Astyanax mexicanus: one gene and its partner. The protein of the gene in region 2 purifies or fractionates together with the protein of the main gene of each other region. This does not show direct contact. Links are inferred from orthologs where the notes say so. Each region holds a gene or a part of one and is shown on either strand. Other genes may lie near its edges.

Region 1 (6,683 bases), on a different chromosome or scaffold from region 2:
ACACTCACTCTGCTCACTCCGCTCACTCCTCTCACTTCTATGGCTACTTAAGGTAGGTGTTTACCTGTACGCTCTCCCAGGCCGACAGACGTGCACTCTCCTGTGCATTCACTATCCTCTACAGGTGGATACACAGGTGGTGTTACTCTCAAGGCCTTGTCTTTTTAAAATTCTTCTTTATTATTATTATTTTTATTACTAATAACATTGCTGTTACCAATTGTGCAGAATGACCTTCCAGGCAAATATCACTCAAACATCATTACAACGTGTTTCTGTATATTTTTTATGAACTGCTGTTAGACTATAACTACTGAATACTCAGTACTAAATACTAAATAGTTGACTACTGTCTAATAAATACTGAAAACTAAATACTGATTACTGACTACTGACAATTGTATACTGACTACAGACTAATGAATACTGACTACTGAATACTGGTTATTGACAACAGACTAATGAATACTTACTACTGAATACTAAATGCTTATTATTGCCCACTACTAAATACCGATTATTAAACACTGCAGAATGAATATTGAATACAAAATACTGGCTAATATATACTTACTACAGACTAATGAATACTGGCAATACTAAATACTGATTATTGACCACTTTCTAATGAATACTGACTACTGAATACTGGTTATTGACAACAGACTAATGAATACTTACTACTAAATACAAAATACTGGCTAATATATACTGACTACAGACTAATGAATACTTACTACTAAATAATAAATACTTATTATTGACCACTACTAAATACCGATTATTGACCACTGCCGAATGAATATTGAATACAAAATACTGGCTAATATATACTGACTACAGACTAATAAATACTGGCAATACTAAATACTGATTAGTGACTGCTTTCTAATGAATACTGACTACTGAATGCTAAATACTGATTACTGACTACTGCCTAATGAATACTGAATACTAATTACTGACTGTTGATGATTATATGCTGACTACAGGCTAATGAACACTGACTACTGAATACTAAATACTGATAATCGACCACTGCCTAATGAATACTTACAACTAAATACTAAATACTGATTATTGACTACAGGCTGATGAATATTTACTACTGAATGCTAAATACTGATTATTTACCACTGGCAAATGGATACTGAATACTAAGCACTATTTCTGACTCCTGGCTAATATATTACTGACTACAGACTAATGAATATTGACAATACCAAATACTGATTATTGACTACAGCCGGATGTATACTAACTACTGACTAGTGAATACTGATTATTGACAGCAAACTAATGAATAATGAATAATAAATACTGATTATTGACTACTGAGGATTATATACAGACTACAGACTAATGAATACTGACTACTGAATACTAAATACTGATTATTGACTACATACTGATTAATACTGACTACAGACCAATAAATACTGACAACAGCATACTATATACTGATTATACAGTACTGACTAATGAATATTTACTTAAATATAATAATATACAAAATAAAAACTGGTTATTGACTACTGAATACTGACTACAGAATACAGACTAATACATACTGATGGCTGAATACTAAATACTGATTATAAACTACTGACTAATTAATGAAAACTGTCTACTGATTAACGTAATCATAGTGCAATAAATACTTAAGGATAACTATTGAATATTGATTTTGAAAACTGACAACTGACTAATACATTTTGACTACTGAAAACTGATTATTGCCTACTGACTAATTCTTATGGTATACTAATTAATGTAATAATAGCTTAATGAATGCTGACTGATGACTCATGAATATTGACTTGTAAAAAGTGACAACTGACTTATAAAATACTGAGAATTGGCTAGTATTAACTACTGACCACTGATTTCAATACTAACACTCTAACACTGATTACTTGCCAATATTTTACTGGCTGCAGAATACTGCTTACTGGCTGAATAACAACTAGGGCATCATTCATCAGTATTTTGTTGTAGAGAATTGATTATCAGCAGTTTTAGTCAGTAATCAATTAATTGATCAATTAATCAATACTGAATAACTACTATTTACTGACTATGGACAACAGACTCCGATTCAGTTTTCAGTGTGTTCTGAAGTGGTTAAGCGTTGTGTAAGTGTGTCAGTAGTGTGTTTAGTAAAGATTAAAGGTATGTGTGCAGGTGTGAGTATGGTGAGGAGCGATGGCAGGAACCTGTGCTGGAGGACAGTACTTGGACCGCCTGCTAAAACAGTGCATGCCCTGTCAGCTGGTGTGTGATAACCCTGACCCCCCCACTCGCTGCCTAGACTTCTGTGGTGAGTAACACACTGCTAACAACTCAGAGGCAGAACCAATCAGAATCTTTATTTCAGCTGGGGGTGAGACAACAAGAGCCAAACTCAGAGACATAACCAATCAGAATCTCTATTTCAGTTGGGGGTGAGACAACAGAGAGTCAAACTTAAAGGCAGAACCAATCAAAATCTGTATTTCAGTTGGGGGTGAGACAATAGAGAGCCAAACTCAGAGGCAGAACCAATTTAGAATCTCTATTTCAGTTGGAGGTGGGACAACAAGAGCCAAACTCAGAGACATAACCAATCAGAATCTCTATTTCAGTTGGGGGTGAGACAATAGAGAGTCAAACTCAAAGGCAGAACCAATCAGAATCTTTATTTCAGTTTGGGGTGAGACAAAAGAGAGCCAAACTTAAAGGCAGAACCAATCAGAATCTTTATTTCAGTTTGGGGTGAGACAAAAGAGTGCCAAACTTAAAGGCAGAACCAATCAGAATCTCTATTTCAGTTGGGGGTGAGACAACAGAGAGTCAAACTTAAAGGCAGAACCAATCAAAATCTGTATTTCAGTTGGGGGTGAGACAATAGAGAGCCAAACTCAGAGGCAGAACCAATTTAGAATCTCTATTTCAGTTGGAGGTGGGACAACAAGAGCCAAACTCAGAGACATAACCAATCAGAATCTCTATTTCAGTTGGGGGTGAGACAATAGAGAGTCAAACTCAAAGGCAGAACCAATCAGAATCTTTATTTCAGTTTGGGGTGAGACAAAAGAGAGCCAAACTCAGAGGCAGAACCAATTTAGAATCTCTATTTCAGTTGGAGGTGGGACAACAAGAGCCAAACTCAGAGACATAACCAATCAGAATCTCTATTTCAGCTGGGGGTGGAAGAAAAGAGAGCCAAACTTAAAGGCAGACCCAATCAAAATCTCTATTTCAGTTGGGGATTAGACAATAAAGAGTCAAACTCAGAGGCAGAAACAATCAGAATCTCTATTTTAGTTGTGGGTGAGACAATAGAGAGTCAAACTCAGTGGCAGGACCAATCAGAATCTTTATGTTAGCTGAGGGTGGTACAAAAAAGATCTCAACTCAAAAGCAGAACCAATTAGAATCTCTATTTTCAGCTGGCAGTGGGACAACAGAGAGTCAAACCCAGAGGCAGAAGCAATTAGAATCTCTATTTTCAGCTGGCAGTGGGACAACAGAGAGTCAAACCCAGAGGCAGAACCAATCAGAATCTCTATTTTCGCTAAGGGCGGGACAACAAAGAGTCAAACCCAGAGGCAGAACCAATCAGAGTCTCTATTTCTGCTAGGGGTGAGACAATAAAGAGTCAAACACAGAGGCAGAACCAATCAGAATCTCTATTTTCGCTAAGGGCGGGACAACAAAGAGTCAAACCCAGAGGCAGAACCAATCAGAATCTCTATTTTCGCTAAGGGCGGGACAACAAAGAGTCAAACCCAGAGGCAGAACCAATCAGTATCTTTATTTCCACTAGGAGTGGGACAAAACAAAGAGTCAAACTAAGAGGCAGATCCAATCAGAATCTCTATTTCAGCTGGGGTTGGGACAACAGAGAGTCAAACTTAGAGGCAGAGGTAGAACAATGTTGTTCCCTTCTATTCAGTACTTGGATTAAACTGGTGATGTAGATCATTTGTAATTAAACTGATGAAGATCTGATTTTGTGATCAGTCTCATTACAGCTCTTCTGACTGTCTGTTTACAGTGGCCTTCAGCTGTAAGGCTGTATCTGGGCAGTTCTACGACCAGCTGCTGAAGAAATGCTTGAAATGTTCGGAGCTGTGTGGCCACCACCCCTCAGAGTGCTCACAAGAGTGTCCGAGTAAGTACACAGCGGCCGTGTCCCAAATTCACTCTATGGGCCCTCATCAAGTCAAGTCAAGTAGTTTTAAAGTCAGAAAAAATGAATATTGAATACAAAATACTGGCCTGTATTTACTGACCAATAAATACTGGCAATACTAAATACTGATTATTGACCACTTTTAAATGAATACTGACTACTGAATGCTAAATACTGATTACTGACTAATAAATACTGAATACTAATTACTGACTACTGACGATTATATGCTGACTACAGGCTAATGAACACTGACTGCTGAATATTAAATACTGATTATTGACCACTGCCTAATGAATACTTACCACTAAATACTAAATACTGATTATTGACTACTGCCTAATGAATACTGAATACTAATTACTCACTGTTGATGATTATATGCTAACTACAGACTAATGAACACTGAATACTGAATATTAAATACTGATTATTGACCACTGCCTAATGAATACTTACAACTAAATACTAAATACTGATTATTGACTACTGCCTAACGAATACTGAATACTAATTACTGACTATTGACGATTATTTGCTGACTACAGGCTAATGAACACTGACTACTGAATATTAAATACTGATTACTGACCACTGCCTAATAAATACTTACAACTAAATCCTAAATACTGATTATTGACTACTGACTAATAAATACAGACTACTGAATATTAAATAGTGATTATTGACTACAGACTGATGAATATTTGCTACTGAATGCTAAATACTGATTATTTACCACTGCCAAACTAAACTAAACTAAAAATGGACAAAAATGCAGATACTTGTTTTTTATTGGACAGTGACGATATGTACAGGACATACAGAGGATTGAAATCATGTTACTCTTCTTCCCAAAAGTTACAACAAGTACAGCAAGATAAAATATAAATATAAAAGAACACAATACACTAAATGTACAATACAACAAGGCCACAGATATATACATACTTAAGACAAGAGACACAAGATAATAGTGCAATAGTGAGGGGGATCATTGTAAATGGGACCAATATAAACATTAGTGCAAAAATATAGAGGTATAAAAGCTTAAGGCTTAAGGGTAAAGTGAATGAATGCATACAGTTCTTTAAATGTCACAGTTGTAAAAGGAAAAAAAAGTTTGCACCTGCATTGTTTAAATAGCAACAGTGCTTGTGAATATATCGAAGACACACTGACACGCCACAAATCAAGCTGTGTGTTGCACTAAAGTGACTGGAGATTGCAAAAATAGGTCCCTATATGTTTTACATAATTGAGGCAGTAGTGATTACTGCTAATAAGTCCATGAAACATTGTTAACAACTCAAAATTTTCACCTTTTAAAGCGTTCTTCATCACAGTTTCCAATATCTCACACTCAATTCTCTCTGTCTACAGCTCGTGCTCCCACACCTGGAATCACAAGGCCTGGCAGCATCACTGCACTGCAGCCACGTGACCCCAGGGGGAGCCACAGGCCCAGAGAAGTGCCCCACTCAGAGGTGCTGGTGTACGCTCTGCTGGGCCTGTGTCTGGCCATGCTGCTGGGGACTGTGCTGGTGGCCCTGCTGGTGCTGCTGAGGAGAGCCAGGGGGCAGAAGGAGGACCAGGGGGAGAAGGTCCAGCAGCCAGACGGACACAGCCAGACATCTAAAGGTACCCTGTCGGCTCTGAAAAAACGAGAATGTTGTCTGTTATGTTTTATGGTAGAACATCAGCCTCCGCTGCAGAATCATACAAATATATATATATATATATATATATATATATATATATATATATATATATATATATATATATATATATATATATATATAAATAATATCTCAAAAAAGTTACTTTATTTCAGTGTTTCATTTCAAAACACAGATACACAGAGTGATCTATTTTAAGCATTTATTTATTTTTTTGTTGATGATTATGGTTTACAGGCAATGACATTCTCAGAAAATGTGAATATTATATAAGACCAATTGGCACTTTTGGCAGTGTGGGCAGTGTGCCAAGTCCTGCTGGAAAATGAAATCTGCTACTCCATAAAAGTTGTAAGATTTGTAAGGGAAAACACTGCGCTGACTTTGGATGAACACAGTGGATCAACACCAGCAGATGACATGACTCTCCAAACCATCACTGATTGGTGGAAACTTCACACTAGACCTCGATCAGCTTGGACTGTGTGTCTCTCCACTCTTCCTCCAGACTCTGCTCGGTCAGAAGCCACGTAAAATCGAACAAGCCTATTAACATCACAGTTTTTACAACATACAAAACAACCAATGAGAACACTTCAAGTACTGAAGACTCAATTCCACACGTCCTTTAAAATTTATAAACACAGCCAGTCATCAATTTTAACAAGAAAAGACATTTAGGCAAAAACACATGCAGAGGAAAAAACAACACCATCAACACCAAAATCATTTCCATAATTTTCCCCAAAAAACTCTTTTTGTATAAAAATACACTCAGGAAATACACTTTTAAGATCTTTTAAGAAAATATTTTTTCTTTTTTGCTT
Region 2 (6,683 bases):
ACTAGGAGCATGAGGACCAGTACATGCCTCCTCAGATACTTGTAAAGTCAGTCACTACCCCCAATGCAGGCAGTTAACACGGATACCACACTGGAATTGATGAGAGGATAAAATGCCATCAACCAACCCTTAGAGAAACCATCACCAGCTATGCTCTCTCTGACTCTGACTGCTGTAAGTAGCATGATTCGCCATTCTTACCAGCGTTCCACTTTTTAAAGTAAATAGTTAAAGTACTCAATAGTGTGCCACAAATCTCAGATAGGGATCCATTTCAGTCTCAGCCTAGATAGCCTAAATGAGCAGGGGGACAGATCCCAGATCAGCTCTCCTGCTCAAAGAAGCTTTATGAATGAGATGTCTGTTGCATAAACTGCTGACCAGCAGTCACCAACTTTGCTCCTGATCCCGTACACACAGGGGGACCTGTGTGGGTCTGGGTCAGACTGGATCAGGGGTTAGAGTGAACTCTCTAGGAGCAGAGCTGGTGACCGGCTATTGACCAGTGTGGTAACCAGCTTAGTGTCGTCAGCTGAAGTTAAACAGATTTTTACAGCTCAGAATAAATTATTTTCTCCCACTGGTCTGCTCTGAAGCTCAGAGGCCGCTGGGTTGGTTTAGGAGAAAGGTCTAAAACTGCTCACAAAGCGGCACAAGTAAAAGGGTCAGGCAGCATTCAGCCCTTCATACTGTAACGATGCTCCACCCATCACGATGACTCAGACCCGAACAAGAGGATGAGCTCGTGACACATGATAAAGGTGAAGAAATACACGCAGAGGTCGGCAAACACGTCGCCCATTTTCCGATAAGTGTCCATGGAATGGTTAATGACCTCAGCCGGAATGCCGGACAGCAGGAGGGCAGCAGTGAGGACAGTGGTCTTTGACTTTTTCTCCACCTGAGAGAGAAAGAAACAGAAAAATCACAAATATTAAATAACCACTTAAATTAGAACCAAAATATTTGATAAACACAAACCTCTGCCCACTTGTATACATTTTATGGCTACATATCTGTTTGTCAGCCGCTTTCCTCAATGTCTGCTTTGAATAACACTTGAATAAGCATGAATAAGCATGCTAGCCTGTATGGGTAAACATCCCTCATAAAGAGAGACGTTAACACAAAATGATTTTTTTTGTGGATGAGAGGCAGACGAACTGTTTTAAAAAATATCCAGATGTGTGGAGGAGGCCAAATTACATTGCTGTGAACAACGCAACAGAAACACATAAAATGTAACCGTAAATTTTTGACACTAATAAATAATTGGTGTTTGAATAGATTTTTTTTATTGAGTGATTTGAGTGCGTGAGTGTTATTGGGTACTGTGTGACTGTTTATAATGCACAGTCTACGTGTAGTGGGTGGAGATGAAGATTGGTATTCCCTGCTTTTGTTGGAAAGTGATTTTTAAGTCACTTTTACTGGACAGGGTTTACAAATGCATTTCTGGACAAGAAAGCCCAAGTTACATTGTGATTTTTTTGTACGTTGAGCCTGGAGTAATACAGAGATTAGATAGATCAGCTTTAAACTGCTTTAAATTGCTGAACGTGATGTAATGACGCACCTTTGGAAAGTACTTGTATAACCCCATGTAGGCCAGCTCCAGAGTGAGAAACGGTGCAAATATTGACTGCAAAAAAGAAAGTAAACCATCACATAAACACAAGCAATAACAATGGTAATATCAATTAATGTTTATACGCTATCATGATTTAAATGAAATAATAGCACAAAGAATAACAGAACAATTAATAATAGCACAATTATACTATACAATTATACAAAATAATGAGTAATCTAAACTCTATATACATACAACCAGTTCTAATCTAAAAACAAAGTGGATTTATAAACACCTAGGGAACGTGCATACCTAATGTTCTGTGAAGCTATTTTAGCTTCATCTGAGGCCTTAGTGTCCAGTCGAATCCATAGAGGATAGCTTTGACTGCGAAACTCGGCCCAGTGGGAGGACTTTGGCTCTCTTTGGATTAGACTGGCTACCCCATTAGGGAAAGTTGCCTCTAAACCAAAGCAAGATTTTCTTTTCTTTTTTTTTTTTTTTTTTTTTTTTTAAAACATCAATATTGAAACTGTGTTTGTGTTTAATCCAGCAGGTAGCTCCAAGGTTATTGAGTACTTTGAAAAAGTGAATCGATTCTGTAAGTTCTGTTTAAAAAAAACACCACACGCCCCTCCTCTAGTTTTAAAACAATTCCACATTTTGACAACAAACTGCATTTCTTTCAGAACATCAACTCACCAAGTACTGGCAGACGAAGATGCGTACAAAGACAGCTAAAAGGACACTCCCGGTGAGCCGGAAGAGACGGAAGGGGTCAAGCTCCTCCGGGTCAGAGCTGCTGTCCTGTGCCGCCTTCTCGTTCGCTAGCTGACCCCGCAGCTTCATTGCGTCGTCAAAGCGGGACAGGTACTTCTGCAGGCCCCTTCGAGGAGAGCGCGAGTGCTCATCACTGGACAGCTCTCCCCGTGGCCGCTGTCGCACCCCACGGGACAGGTCATCCTCCCCCAGGTCCTCTCTGCTGTCCGGCAGGGGAGAGCCCCGCCTTTCAGGGGTGCTGCTGGGGGTTGTGTTTTTGCTGCCACCCGTCTCAGAGATGTATGGAGAGAGGCGCTTAGAAGACACCGGTGGCGTCCAGGCATCATTTGGGTCCAGGTCTAGGTGGAAGCGAGGCTCCATCGTGTGTCGGGCTTCTATGTGAAAGACGGAGAAAGGGAAACAGTTGAAAGTGTTATTAGAAAAAAAAAAAAAGTGTTAGAAAGTATTATTAGTATTAAAGTATTATTAGTATAAAAAGTATTAGAAAGTGTTATTAGTGTTATTAGAAGTATTATTATTTTTTATTATAATAAAAAATAATAAAAATACTAAAATAACTTAATTTTATTCTAAATAATTATTGTTACTTTCAAGTGTGAACAGCTTTCATGTCCATAAAGAACCACAGCCTAGAAAACTCCTTTGTGTTCACAGACGTTGTTTTGTTGTTTATAACAAACACAAGAAGGCAAAAACAATATGTGCACCTTAAAAAAAACACAATTCACTCCTTAGTAAGGATATTCCTATACTGTTGGAATGGACAGTGTGTAGTAGGGGTGTGCTATATTTTGTCATACACAATCATTTTTTTATGTTTTGCCATTTACTGTTCTATTAATAGTTTGCAGTTTATATGTAGGCACTAACTAAGCTGGACTTAAGTTCTGTGGTAGATGTTTGTGTTTATATTACATTATTTCTGTTACCTTTTTTAATTTTGTAACACTACAGTCTTGGTAAACTACTGTCTAGAAAATAGACATTTATAGATTTTGTTTCAGCTGAATAAATTTGTACTAAATAAAACATTTATATGTATTTTGTTGCAGAAGTATACTCTTGAAATGTATTTAAAAGAATTACTGCAAAAACACCCTGAAATATCGTGATATTATTTCACGGCCATATCGCCCAGCCCTAAGCGCTGAATGGGATTAAGCTGAATTTGACTCCTCATTATGAGATAGAGTAACTGGGGCGCCTGAATGGAGCAGGGTTAGTTACCTTCTGCACCATGTAAGGCAGACCGGTAAATCCCAGTAACTACCTGAGGAATAAGCAGGCCTCCCCGGTTCATTAACTGGTTTAGGGTGTAAATGTGCTCTCTGTATGAATGTGCTGACCGCTGCTATCCGCGTCGCCCTTCCCGAAGCCCACTATTCTGTTCATCCTCTGCTCGGAGTTCTGCAGCAGCCTCCTCCGCCTGCTCTCCGCCCGGCGCTGAGCTGCGCTGCGGCCGCTCGCCTCGTCCCCGGCCTCCATCCCCTCTCTGCCCGCTCCAATCGCTCCTACGGCTCCCGGTGGTCCGATTCTCTCCGGGGGCTTTAATAATCCTGTGTTTAACTGCCTTATCCTCGCTCCGCTTCCTTGCTCCGGGATCCTCTGCGCGCACACAAACACCACACTACTGCAGGCCCTCAGCGCAATGGCGGCACAGCTACAATAAAAGTCCTCTTAGTGAAAAAATGAACTCAAAATAAAAAAGGCGAAAAGGTGATTAAATCACCGAATTAAAAAAACACGAACTAAGTAGAGAGATTCAAGTAAAATAAAAAAATATAAAGTAAATTTCGTTAATTATATGGAATATTTAATGCACAGATGCACTGTAAAGAAATACACATCAAGATAAAAGTTGTTTAACAAAAGAAAAAGAAGATAATCTAGAAAAGAGCAAAACCAGTAGAGTTTGATGGTAGATTTTCTATAATATAATTAATATAATAAAATTATTTTATATACAATGTAGTAAACAAATTTAACAGTTGCAGTTGCAGTAATTTTATAAAAAAAATTATAAAAACGCTGTGAAACGTGCTATTATTATTATGTTTAATATTTAATATGTATTATTATTATTATTATGTTTAATATTTAATATGTATTATTATTATTATTAGTATATTTATTATTATGTTTAATATTTAATACTTATTATTATTATTATTATTATTATTATTATTATTATTATTATTATTATTATTATTATTATTATTTGTATTTGTATTTGTATTTGTATTTGTATTTATACAGTGTAAAGCAAGCAGAGTCGAGTGATCAGCCTGTAAGTAAGCGTAGGATTGTGGGTAATGTAGTGAAGGGGCAGACTTGTTGTACTTTTATAGACACTTCCCCAACCGTCCGCTTGTGAGTGTGTGTGTGAGAGAGAGAGAGTGCGAGTGAGAGAGATGAGCAGACTGTGCGCGGGACAGTATGAGGAAGTAGTGAGTGTGTGTTGGTGCTGAGTGTAGAGGGGTATGATGGTGCAGGTTTGGGTAAAGACCCTGATAGTGTGTGTGAGTGTGTGTGTGAGTGTGTGTAGGGGAGCTGGTTCTCCTCCGCACGTGGTCTTCGTACTTGCGGATGATCTGGGCTGGAATGATGTGGGTTTTCGCGGCTCTGAGATCCGGACCCCGGAACTGGACCGGCTGGCTGCAGCGGGGGTCCGGCTGGACGGGTATTATGTCCAGCCGCTCTGCACCCCGTCCAGGAACCAACTAATGACCGGCAGGTACCAGGTAAGACTGCAGTACACACACTGAACCCACAGCTGCTGTCAGTGCTGCGACTGCTGCTGTAACAGCTACTACAGCTACTGTCAGTGCTGCTACTGCTGCTGTAACAGCTGCTACAGCTGCTGTCAGTGCTTCTAGTGCTGCTGTAACATCTGCTACAGCTGCTGTCAGTGCTGCTACTGCTGCTGTAACAGCTACTACAGCTACTGTCAGTGCTGCTACTGCTGCTGTAACAGCTGCTGTCAGTGCTGCTACTGCTGCTGTAACAGCTACTACAGCTACTGTCAGTGCTGCTACTGTTGCTGTAACAGCTGCTACAGCTGCTGTCAGTGCTGCTAGTGCTGCTGTAACAGCTACTACAGCTAATGTCAGTGCTGCTACTGCTGCTGTAACAGCTGCTACAGCTGCTGCCAGTGCTTCTACTGCTGCTGTAACAGCTGCTACAGCTGCTGTCAGTGCTGCTACTGCTGCTGTAACAGCTGCTGTCAGTGCTGCTACTGCTGCTGTAACAGCTACTACAGCTACTGTCAGTGCTGCTACTGTTGCTGTAACAGCTGCTACAGCTGCTGTCAGTGCTGCTAGTGCTGCTGTAACAGCTACTACAGCTAATGTCAGTGCTGCTACTGCTGCTGTAACAGCTACTACAGCTACTGTCAGTGCTGCTACTGCTGCTGTAACAGCTGCTACAGCTGCTGTCAGTGCTGCTACTGCTGCTGTAACAGCTACTACAGCTACTGTCAGTGCTGCTACTGCTGCTGTAACAGCTGCTGTCAGTGCTGCTACTGCTGCTGTAACAGCTACTACAGCTACTGTCAGTGCTGCTACTGTTGCTGTAACAGCTGCTACAGCTGCTGTCAGTGCTGCTAGTGCTGCTGTAACAGCTACTACAGCTAATGTCAGTGCTGCTACTGCTGCTGTAACAGCTGCTACAGCTGCTGTCAGTGCTTCTACTGCTGCTGTAACAGCTGCTACAGCTGCTGTCAGTGCTGCTACTGCTGCTGTAACAGCTACTACAGCTACTGTCAGTGCTGCTACTGGTGCTGTAACAGCTGCTTTAGCTACTGTCAGTGCTGCTACTGCTGCTGCATTACTGTAACAGCTACTGTAGGTAGTTACTGTTAATGCTGCTACTGCTGCTGTAACAGCTACTACAGCAACTGCTGCTGTAACAGTAATAATGTAACAGGTACTACAACCACTGTCAGTGCTGCTACTGCTGCTGTATTGCTCTAATAACTACAACAGCTAGTTACTACTGTCACTACTACAAGTATTACTTTAACTGCTACTGCTGTCACTACTCTTACAAGTAATTCTATAACATCTACTGCTGTCACTACTCTTACATGTATTACTATAACACCTACGGAAGTAATGTCTATATACATCCCAACAAACATGTTCATAGTCAAAAGCTTAAATTAGCCTTGTGTTAGCCTAATTCAGATTCTTTCACAAATATATTGGAAATCCACCTCAAACAGCTGAATTATAGATAAATATACACTCGCTTGGATAAAGCAAAAAACAACTGCCCTGACACAACTTCCTGGTGTGAAACTACATCTCTCTCACTCTGCAGACCAAACTTT

Evidence for each region.
Region 1: the proteins of camlg (region 2) and tumor necrosis factor receptor superfamily member 13B purify together in Homo sapiens (affinity purification with western blotting; 3 studies listed by BioGRID and IntAct, with this or other methods). This does not show direct contact. The link is inferred for Astyanax mexicanus from reciprocal best matches to the Homo sapiens genes CAMLG and TNFRSF13B.

Annotation. Positions count from the first base shown.
Region 1 is NC_064422.1:7,888,892-7,895,574, reverse strand, and holds the start of tumor necrosis factor receptor superfamily member 13B, read left to right. Parts: upstream 1-2,188; 5' UTR 2,189-2,205; coding exon 2,206-2,320; intron 2,321-4,039; coding exon 4,040-4,156; intron 4,157-5,560; coding exon 5,561-5,818; intron 5,819-6,683. UniProt on the Homo sapiens protein: Receptor for TNFSF13/APRIL and TNFSF13B/TALL1/BAFF/BLYS that binds both ligands with similar high affinity. Mediates calcineurin-dependent activation of NF-AT, as well as activation of NF-kappa-B and AP-1.
Region 2 is NC_064424.1:33,511,556-33,518,238, forward strand, and holds the start of camlg (calcium signal-modulating cyclophilin ligand), read right to left. Parts: upstream 4,018-6,683; 5' UTR 3,839-4,017; coding exon 3,700-3,838; intron 2,728-3,699; coding exon 2,276-2,727; intron 1,643-2,275; coding exon 1,577-1,642; intron 902-1,576; coding exon 710-901; 3' UTR 1-709. Other genes in the region: arylsulfatase B, read left to right, coding at 4,834-5,094. UniProt on the Homo sapiens protein: Required for the post-translational delivery of tail-anchored (TA) proteins to the endoplasmic reticulum.